Arabidopsis thaliana: one gene and its partner. The protein of the gene in region 2 interacts with the protein of the main gene of each other region in a pairwise test. Each region holds a gene or a part of one and is shown on either strand. Other genes may lie near its edges.

The links.
Region 1: the proteins of PP2-A1 (region 2) and HIPL2 interact in a two-hybrid assay, tested with the Arabidopsis thaliana proteins (one large-scale study listed by BioGRID).

Annotation. Positions count from the first base shown.
Region 1 is NC_003076.8:25,142,735-25,148,362, reverse strand, and holds HIPL2 (hipl2 protein precursor), read left to right. Parts: upstream 1-1,775; 5' UTR 1,776-1,972; coding exon 1,973-2,066; intron 2,067-2,184; coding exon 2,185-2,345; intron 2,346-2,444; coding exon 2,445-3,230; intron 3,231-3,333; coding exon 3,334-3,547; intron 3,548-3,630; coding exon 3,631-3,809; intron 3,810-3,902; coding exon 3,903-4,141; intron 4,142-4,226; coding exon 4,227-4,644; 3' UTR 4,645-4,845; downstream 4,846-5,628. Other genes in the region: AT5G62627 (Putative membrane lipoprotein), read right to left, coding at 5,461-5,628.
Region 2 is NC_003075.7:10,771,818-10,776,727, reverse strand, and holds PP2-A1 (phloem protein 2-A1), read right to left. Parts: upstream 2,795-4,910; 5' UTR 2,393-2,794; coding exon 2,147-2,392; intron 1,760-2,146; coding exon 1,638-1,759; intron 1,400-1,637; coding exon 1,027-1,399; 3' UTR 786-1,026; downstream 1-785. Other genes in the region: PP2-A2 (lectin-like protein), read right to left, coding at 1-71; AT4G19830 (FKBP-like peptidyl-prolyl cis-trans isomerase family protein), read left to right, coding at 2,795-3,115, 3,198-3,320, 3,559-3,675, 4,021-4,149.

The DNA of each region.
Region 1 (5,628 bases), on a different chromosome or scaffold from region 2:
CATGATAGATTTTTATAACATATTTCACATTAGAATTTACATGACAGTATATATTTAACGTTTGGAGTTTACTGATTAATTGTCTTAAAATATCTAAAAAGCCAAGTAAAACTCTATTTACCTTCTAGAATGTATGGACCATAATCAAAATTACTACATGATAAGAAGTAGACTATTTCAAAAGTCCAAATGGGATCATTATTGAATAAAAGTCCATGGCGTTGAAATAACTAAATTTTCATAAAGTAAGTGAGAAATCGGGAATGCAATTAAGAGAAAAATGTCGAGAAGGGAGATCCAAGTTGCCGTTAATTTGCATATTTTCTTTGCTTGAGGATACTTTAAACTTACCCGCCAACTATATCTTTAACATGCTTTCTAATTTGAATTAAACCCATCAATTTCTATGTATTAACTTTTTACGTCAAAATTAAGAATAGTATTTTAAGCATTTTATTCTAAATATCATCTTTTTAAAGAGACACAATACTATAGTATCTAATATGTCGTTCATTTGTAATATGTTATATTCAAAATGTATTCTTAATTTACTAAATTTGATGTTTTACTATTTACAAAAAGTTTGAGAAATTTCGGAAAATTCGATATCGTCAGGTCTATTATATATACTGCAAATTAGAATTAAAAGTTTGTGGACCATGATTCAATCTGCTCCGACATGGCCCGCTTTGATATTTCAGACTATAGCTTTATGGTTGGCTCTAAGTTAACGATGGATTCTATAGTATAAATAATAGTCGTAGTGGGTTGTTCAATCTATTCGGTCGTGTTTCATATTTGATCATAATCCACTTTTTAAGCTTTTTAGTAGGTTTGTATATACTTGTAAGACTTTTCAGTCGGTAGACAATTGTTTAATCAGTGGTTTCATCGGCTGTCATAACTTTCAATCTGGTTAATGTTTAAATTTTTCTGATTTAGCCAAAGGTGCAAAAATGAAGAAAACTTTGTGAAGCGTGTGAGAAAAGGTAAATGCGGAGCAACCTAACAAAATATAATAATATAAGGTAAAAGATGTAAAAATGTTAACATTGACGACGAGATTGACCCATTGTTCATGTTAGGTACTGCTAAAGTATTAATATGGTTAACATGCGTAAGGAGAACACTATTATTAATTAATTCTGTCCTTTATCCCAAACCCAAAAGAAATAGATCTTAGAATACTTAAATACGAATAAAAGATGTATAGTATAGTCCTATGTTGGCTATCTAAATGCTCAAAATGTCTTAGCCTTGTTCTCTTTACTATATCTTTATAAAATCTATCCTCTACATATACGAAAACATTACGTTTTGTGGCTGAGTTCTCAAGAGAAAACTAAAAAATAATTAATGAGTTGAGAACTAGTAGACAGAAGTTGGCACAAGTCAACACACAATATTAATGTCATGAGGTGAAAACCAATTTAGTAAACTTGGATAAAAATTAAGGCTATAAGCTAAATGTGTAAAATATAGCACATAATGATAAGCGTAATAGAGCAAGACCGATATTGTTAGTTCATCATCATCATCATCATCATCATATATGTTGGTTGGCAAAATTTATTGCTATTAGTATCTTATCAAGTTTCAACAAAAGTAAGTTAGAAATAAAAACTGATGCCACATTTCTTCTTTCATAGTAAAAAAATCATAACATTGGAAACTTTTGAGAAAATCAAGCTTCGAGAACAGGGTTGACAAATCCATAACACCCAATCGAATTTAATATTTGAGATAGACAAATTAGCGTAACCGTCTCACCCTATCCAAAGAATTTATTCATTTCTCTCTCAAGTTTTCTCTAATATTTTGACAAAATTTTCAACGACTTATGTCGTATTTAGACACAACTATGTTACTACCACATATACACATATATACTATTTAGACACATATACTATATAGCTTTGAGTCTCCTGTGTGAGAGAGAGAGAGAGAATTGTGTTGTTGCATAGTTCCAATAATGGCAAAGACGAATCAAGCCATCACTATCTGTTCCCTTCTTCTGCTTCTTCTACTCTCTGAAACAACTTCTCACCTTCTTTGCTCAGATTCAAGTAAGTGTTCTCTATGTTCATGTCGTTTTTAGTTGAAGTGTTCTTGCGTACATGTCGTTTTGAGTTTAATGGCTTTTGTGTTCATGTCGTTTTGATGAATTTTTCGTCTTTTTGTCAGAGACTCCAGTCAACAACAACGAGACACTCCAGTTCTGCGATTCCTACAAAGAAAGATCTTGCTGCAATTCTAAAGATGATCTTCAATTACAGAATCGCTTCAACTCCATGAACATCTCTGACTCTAATTGTTCTTCTCTTCTCAAATCCATTCTCTGTTCTGTAAGTCTTAAGAATAAGAATCAATCTTTCACTTATGCATTTGCTCTGTTTGAAGCTAATTGATTCTGAATCTCTGAGTCTTTTTTTTGTTTCCCTCAGAAATGTGATGAATTCTCAGGACAATTGTTTGGTGATGATGATAGTTCTCTAGTTCCAATTCTCTGCAACTCAACATCACAAGACTTATGTTCAAAACTTTGGGATTCATGTCAGAACATTTCCATTGTTTCTTCTCCTTTTAGTCCCACTCTACTTGGTGGTGCTACTTCGCCTTCAACTTCATCAAATTCATCGACATTAACCGATCTTTGGAAATCCCAAACCGAATTCTGTACAGCCTTTGGTGGACCATCTCAAACCAACAACAACAAAACCAAATGCTTCAATGGTGAACCGGTTAACAGAGACACTAGTGATGATGATGAGGATGATGTTAAGACACCTAAAGGAATATGTCTTGAGAAGATAGGAACTGGTTCTTACCTTAACATGGTCGCTCATCCTGATGGTTCGAACCGGGCCTTTTTCTCTAACCAACCTGGTAAGATTTGGTTAGGTACAATACCGGATCAAGACTCAGGTAAACCGATGGAAATCGATGAATCAACTCCTTTTGTTGATATTACCGATCAAGTTAGTTTCGATACGCAGTTTGGTATGATGGGAATGGCGTTTCATCCTAAGTTCGCAGAGAACGGGCGGTTTTTCGCGTCTTTTAACTGCGATAAAGTCAAATCTCCTGGATGCTCTGGTCGTTGTGCTTGCAATTCTGATGTTAACTGTGATCCTTCGAAGCTTCCTAAAGATGATGGCACGACGCCTTGTCGTTATCAGACCGTTGTGTCCGAGTATACCGCAAACGGTACTTCCTCGAGCCCTTCAACGGTAAGTTTAAAACTAAAAAAGATTCAAGATTTGATTTCAACCAAAATGTGAGTTTCTTGGGGGTCAAGATTTTAACAAGATTGTTGCTTTTATAATTGTGTAGGCAAAGATTGGTAAAGCATCTGAAGTGAGGAGGATTTTCACTATGGGACTTCCGTATTCTTCATCTCACGGTGGTCAGATTCTCTTTGGACCTGACGGGTATTTGTATCTCATGACTGGTGACGGAGGAGGAGTTTCAGATACTCACAACTTTGCACAGAACAAGAAGTCGTTGCTTGGCAAAATCTTGAGGCTTGATGTTGATGTTATGCCAAGTTAAGTGACGAAATCGATAACCAAAAGCCTGTATTTGGGAGTTTGGATTTGGTGTTTTAACTCTTGTTTTTAAACTCTGCAGGCGTATCTGAAATCTCTAAGCTTGGTTTATGGGGAAACTACTCTATACCAAAAAACAATCCTTTCCAAGGAAATGAAAATGAGCAGCCTGAGATTTGGGCTTTAGGGCTACGAAATCCATGGCGCTGCAGCTTCGATTCCGAAAGACCAGATTACTTCTTGTGCGCAGATGTCGGAAAGGTTTGTGTATTTTTTTTCTTACGTCTCAAGCATCTAGTTCTGTGATGATGCAGAGTTTCTCATGAAATGATTGCTGTGTTAAAAATGTAACAGGATACATATGAAGAAGTTGATATCATAACAATGGGTGGAAACTATGGCTGGAGAACTTACGAAGGACCATATGTTTTCTCACCGTTATCGCCTTTTGGAGAAAATGTTTCCTCGGATTCAAACCTGACATTCCCCATTCTCGGTTACAACCACTCTGAAGTGAACAAACATGAAGGATCTGCTTCCATCATTGGAGGTTACTTTTATCGATCCAACACTGATCCTTGCTCTTATGGAACGTAAGTAAAAAAACTAAACCATGAACCCTAATTCCAAACCCTAAAAGGCTAAAACACTAAATCCTCAAATATTTTTTTGTCTCAGGTACTTGTATGCAGATCTTTATGCAAACGCAATGTGGGCAGCGATCGAATCACCAGAAGATAGTGGAAACTTCACGGACTCTCTAATACCGTTTAGTTGCAGCAAGGATTCACCGATGAAGTGTACCGCAGCTCCAGGAGGAGCTAGCTCAGGACCTGCTCTTGGTTACATTTACTCATTTGGACAAGACAATAACAAGGACATACATTTACTCACGAGCTCTGGTGTGTATCGAATTGTTCGTCCTAGTCGCTGTAACTTAGCTTGCTCCAAGGAAAACACCACCGCTTCTGCCGGAAAACAGAACCCTGCTGGTTCTGCTCCTCCTCAGCCTTTACCTTCTTCTGCAAGAAAGCTCTGTTTCTCTGTGTTTTTGTTATTGTCGTTGTTGATGATGTTTTTAACGTTGTTAGATTAGAATGATGATTGTTTCAGACTCTGTTTTGTAACAGTTCTTATGGATGTTATTCAAAAACTATTTTGTGATTGCTTATATTAGACGAACTCATATGTAATAAACCATTAAGTTTGAGTTCTTTTGTATTGTTATGTCGCAGCAATGTGATCAATCTCCCAGGAACAATCGTTTTGCTGGTAGATATTTCAGTTAGCCGACCAATTCAACACATCTTCAAATTAGCCTATGAAGACTTATGTTCGAGTTCGACACTAGGTGTGCATGTCAGAAAATCTCCAGTGTCTATATCAGCTGTTATCTTCTTCTACAAGAAAGCTCTGTTTCTATGACATGACCTCTTTTATCTTCGTGTAGTTTTCTTTGGAGGGTGAATATAACACATGCAGAGAATATAGATAACTAATTAATGGAGAAGAAATGAAGATTGTCGAGTACCTAAATGAAATCTTTACGGCTGCCGATAATTATTGACCATTGCTTGGAGACGCATTGGAACCTCACAAGAGACTTGGCCGGGAGTTTCTTCAGTATCTCCACCGTTAGATCGAGAGGAATATTAATATCACCGGCTGTTATTTCAAGGCAGCAACTACGTTTAGAACATTGTGACTTGTGAGAGCGTATATGATCACACTCTTCTCTTTCTCCCTTCATGACGCTTTTTCTTTCGGTAAAACATAAATGTGGAGCATACAAGGCTCGAACATAGACAAACGACGATTTTGTTTTGTCTATATTACACATAACGAAGTTTGAATAGTTATCAATTTATTATTATTATGCTTCTTAGAGTTACATATGCGATTTAACACTTAATTATAATGGTGGTGTGTAACAGATTAAGCAAACACATTCTCCATTGACACATTGAGTAATTTTACAACCAGGACAATGGTTGTGGCATAAATTGTCGTAGCTGCAAGGCCCTCCTCGTTGCGGTGTTACATCTCTTAGTTCTCCACTAGTTTTTTCTTCTCCCTTTGA
Region 2 (4,910 bases):
GCATGTTTTAGTATGTCTTCGTTGTTATTATGTGGCTTTGTCTTTGAGAAGATAGACCATATTATTCCCATTCCTTGATTATTTTTGTGTGTTTTCGTTATATGTTTTCTTCTTCTTTTACTAGCTATTGTATTCAGGTCTTATTTATAGAGGAATTTCATGATTATACCTTCCCGACCTGAATGTTTTGTATAACTAAATTATTCATTAGATTAAGTAATTTCTTATCTGATGGTCGAAATCCAAAAATTCTCAAAATGTTTAACACAAAATTATCTAAATTATGTCAAAATATCCAAAAATAGCTGAACTACCTAGACTTGTACCCAACCTCTTGGGCTCTTGGCTATATATAGTAGACTTCTCCATTAGTGTATTTTTGTAAGTATCATCAAACTTTAGAATACATAAATTAAACAAATGGTACACCGTACACATCGCAAACAAAATTTTGATTGGAATATATTCCATTTTCTTTTACGTCTTGTTAAACATGTTTGATTCTTTATACTTTTCATTTGATATGTTAGCTAGCTTTATTCTTCCATTTTCTCCACCAAAATGGAATTTTCGAATACTCTTTTAAAAAGTGAACATGATCCACGCATATAGACTGTTCGCTCATATACCTTTAAGATTATCTATCAAAAATGCCTAATTGAGAGATTATGTGGATATTTTACACATGTTTAGAAAATATTGTTTATGCCAAATTAAATATGGGTTTTGATAGGATCTAACTAGGTTTAAGGTTCATAGAAAATCTTTCTACTTTTTATTTTTTTACCAAAAATAAATTCATGTCAGCTCGTTAAAAGTTAGAACATTGTAAATGAATTGATTCGAATATAACAACCTTCAAAACACTCGTTTTGAGTTTATTCAACACCAACATTAAAGTTATTATTAAAACTAAAAATACGATAGAACAACCTTATTATACACACATGACATGATGTGAAATATATGTTGAGAAGGTCCATTGGTGCATATGGAGATTTATGTTTTTCTATGCCATAACAATTATTACTGTTTGGGACGAATTGCAACACCTTTGAGGGAGAGCCCTTTCTTCCAAACACCAGCCGCATGCTCATACATTGAGAAAGTGATCTCTCCGGCAGCGGATTTCTCAGGTACGAACTCGCCAACTCTGACATCGACCCATTTATACCTTGGAAGTTCCCTCAAACTCACCTTTTTCTCTTGTGGTTTCTCCTTACCGTTAGGCAAGACTAGCTTTAGGTTCACCGGCGTGTCCCATCCATAGGCCGGATCCTCTAGCTTCACCTTAAAGACTACCTCGTAAACAATCCCCGGAGTGAGGTTCCTCGTGTCGAATTTTCCCGTGATGTCGAGCCAACAAACGTTTTTCAATCCCACAGCTTCCACATTCTCGCTTTAAAAATCATCCAAAACAAACTAAAGTTTGTCACTTTGCATTAATAATTATAGGTCAAAATTCGTATTAATATTGCTATAATATACACACACAAACTTAAAACGTCGTAACCTGTTTCGAATTTATCAAGGATACTTTGATTCATACTCAACTCTATTGTAAATCAAATATGTAACAAAGATATTCATTTTGTGGTAACATTCATAGTATGGGATTTAAATGAAACGTATCTTACTTTGGTGACTCTTTTTCGGTAAACCAAGTCCAATAGTTGACGTCATCAGACCAAGTTATAGAGAGGTTCTTTGCAAAGAGCATGAAGCAGTTGCTGTTTCTCTCGTCCACCCAATATTTGATCTGTTTAATATATATTATACGCAGATCATCAAACCAAATGAATTCATGGTCCGTCTTAAATATATTAAGATTGATTTTCTTAACAAAAAGTTACCATTTTGATAGTGTTACTTTAGTCCATTAGTTCTATCTTATTTTATCTTTCGAAGCATTTGAAACCTATGTGGAAGTAGCAATCATGTCTTTCTAAACCAAGCAGAATGGAAACGTTTGTTTTGTGATCTGATCATTTTTTTAAGCTACTTTTTATTTTAGAAATGAGAGATTCAATTTTTTTGAACCAGAAGTTCTGTGTTTGCAATTTTGTTTACCTAAAGGCTCCGTTTTGCGTAGTTATTTTCTGAAAATAGAAACACAAGTGAGCTAATTCTTAAAAAGAATATGAACCTGTTTCTTGGGTTTCAAGAAAACACCAGACCGTAGCTGTTCAGAGAGATTAACAGAGGAGAGAGAGATCGGAGGATCTGCGTCTCTGAGAATGGCCTCACAGTTGTGTGGAGATTTCACCGTTGAAGCTTTCATCGGTAAAGTTGTCACCGGTGGCGCTTCTTTCTGCACCGGGATCAAGTATTTCGAGTCTTGGTTTCTAAACATCTTATTTGGTAATAATTCTGAGCAATGTTTCTTGCTCATAAACCAGTATGATGTATTTATTTTTGATAAATTTGTTATCTTGATCAGTACATTCAACTTGACAGAGAAAAGCTATTAAATGTGTACATATATAGCCCTAGGTAAAGGGGTTTGATCAAGAATTTATTCTATCATGTTTTATCTCCTACTTTTTCCTCTTTTGTTTTTTTCATCTATCTTATTACACTTTCGTAACACTTTATTCACAAAACTAAAGTTTGATAAGGGAATACAATATGTAGCTTATTCTTGTTTCCACTAGAAAGGTTTTGGCAGCAACTATCGTAATCCCAACCCAATCCAAATCAAATTCCATCCACTTCTGAGTTCTGACCTCTCAAAAGCTAGAATATGTGTACCTTCATTTTTATACTTTCCTTATAAAATAAAAAGGAAAGAAAAATGATTCGGTGCTTCGCGTGGACACCACTAGTAGGTGCTCCCTTAATCACCACCGTCCATTTCACATCTCCGCCATCTCTCAGAATCTTCGCATCTCGTTCTTCCGCACCATCATCATCATCATCATCATCATCGACAGTTGCAGCAGCATCTAGAAGATCAATATCTCTGTCAATTATCGCCGTCACGTCTTCCGTCGTCTCCTCCTTTTGCTTCTCGTCTCCGGCACTAGCCGACTTCTCTGAAATCCCTAATTCCGGCGGCGTTAAAGCTCTCGACCTCCGAATCGGCGATGGTGACGTTCCCATTGAAGGAGATCAGGTTTTGTGTTTTTGTATTTTTGTATAGATTTCAGCAAATGAACGAACCATTTGATTCAATTTTGCAAAGTTTTGAATTTTAGATTGAAATACATTACTATGGGAGATTAGCTGCGAAGCAAGGATGGAGATTTGATTCAACATATGATCATAAAGATAGTAATGGTGAAGCTGTTCCTTTCACATTCGTCCTTGGTTCTAGCAAAGTATAAACCTTTATCTCTATATGCTTCTATCTCAATCATGTGTTGCATAAAGTCCAAGTTTTTGTGACATGGGTCTTGAAAAATTATCTGAATTTGATTTAAAGGTGTGACCTTTGATACATTTCTTCATTGAATAGTGATGTAACAAACTAAGTGGTTTGGGTTTTTGAAGTTGATAATACTTCTTCTATGTCTCTATGATGATGTTTTGTGATGACTGAAACATTTTGATGTGCAGGTAATTCCGGGGATTGAAACAGCTGTGAGGTCTATGAAAGTAGGCGGGATTCGTCGGGTGGTTATACCTCCATCTCAGGGATACCAGAATACATCACAGGAGCCTCTCCCACCAAACGTATGTGTGCACACACACCTCTTTCTCCTTTAACATTTTCATATAATATCTTAATATGAAAGTCATATGTTATTTTAGAGTCCCACATGGATTAGCTTTGGGCCTGGCTTAGTGCCTTAGTGCACCACACTCTTAAGCTAGTTTTGGTTTAGGCCTAAACTATTTAGGTGATAAGAACATAATTAGTTACGTCATGTTCAGTAGCCACAGGGACTTGAACTAGTATCAATCTGTTTGATATGAAAGTTTTAGAGAACCAGTCATATTATTCAGATTGTTTGCAGAAACATATAGTACCAAAGATTGGTTTAAAAATCCTTTGTTTGTTTCTTGTTGTGTTTGCAGTTCTTTGACAGACAGAGACTCTTCACGACTATATTTAACCCAACACGTCTCGCCAATGGAGAAGGTTCTACTCTTGGAACTCTCGTTTTTGACATTGAACTTGTCAGCACCAGACGCCTTCACCGATGAGTCATATTGTCCTAGTACTTTTGGATAAGTGAATAGAAATTTCAACTTTAGATGTAAATGAAGTTGATTATTTGTCACTTCTCTCCCTGCTTTGCATTCGTATTACATTTGTGTGTATAAATAAAAGGTTGCTAAATAATAGACAACGAAACGTTGCTTGTTTTGTTTCACAGTAACTAAAAAAATGTCTTCCACAAAACTCATCTCGTTCATCATAATGATTGGCATGATGATCAGATTGGACAACACTTGGCCCATTGATAGATATTTCGAGGCTGAATGGACCCAGAGTTACAGGAATTCAAATTATGGCTACGGTCTCTCAAGCTTGTGCGGATGGATCATGGATTAGACCTCGGGGAAGACATCTGATTCTACTCTTGAGAGCTTGCTTGCCTATTGATATTGGTGCTTGTGTAGAAACGCATCTTCCATTAAAAGGTTAAAGGCAGTATGCATGTTAATCTTTCAAGCTGTGGTCTATTGCCTATGGAGGGAAAGAAATTCAAGACTTCATACTGCGGTGTTGAAGCCCGCTCAAATTAGAATAAAGGACGTTCAGTTACTGTGGAGGGCTAAATTGGCTGGTTTGGACCGACCTTTTCAACTTAATACTGTCGGGCTTTCCTCTGCTTCTTCTTCTTGGCAACACCAAAGTTATCTCTCCTGCTGGTTTGGTTTTATATAGAGGTGATTATTGGGTGCCTTTGCTTTCAGATTCACTATCAGGCCATCAACTCTCGTTATGCTTCAAGAAATGC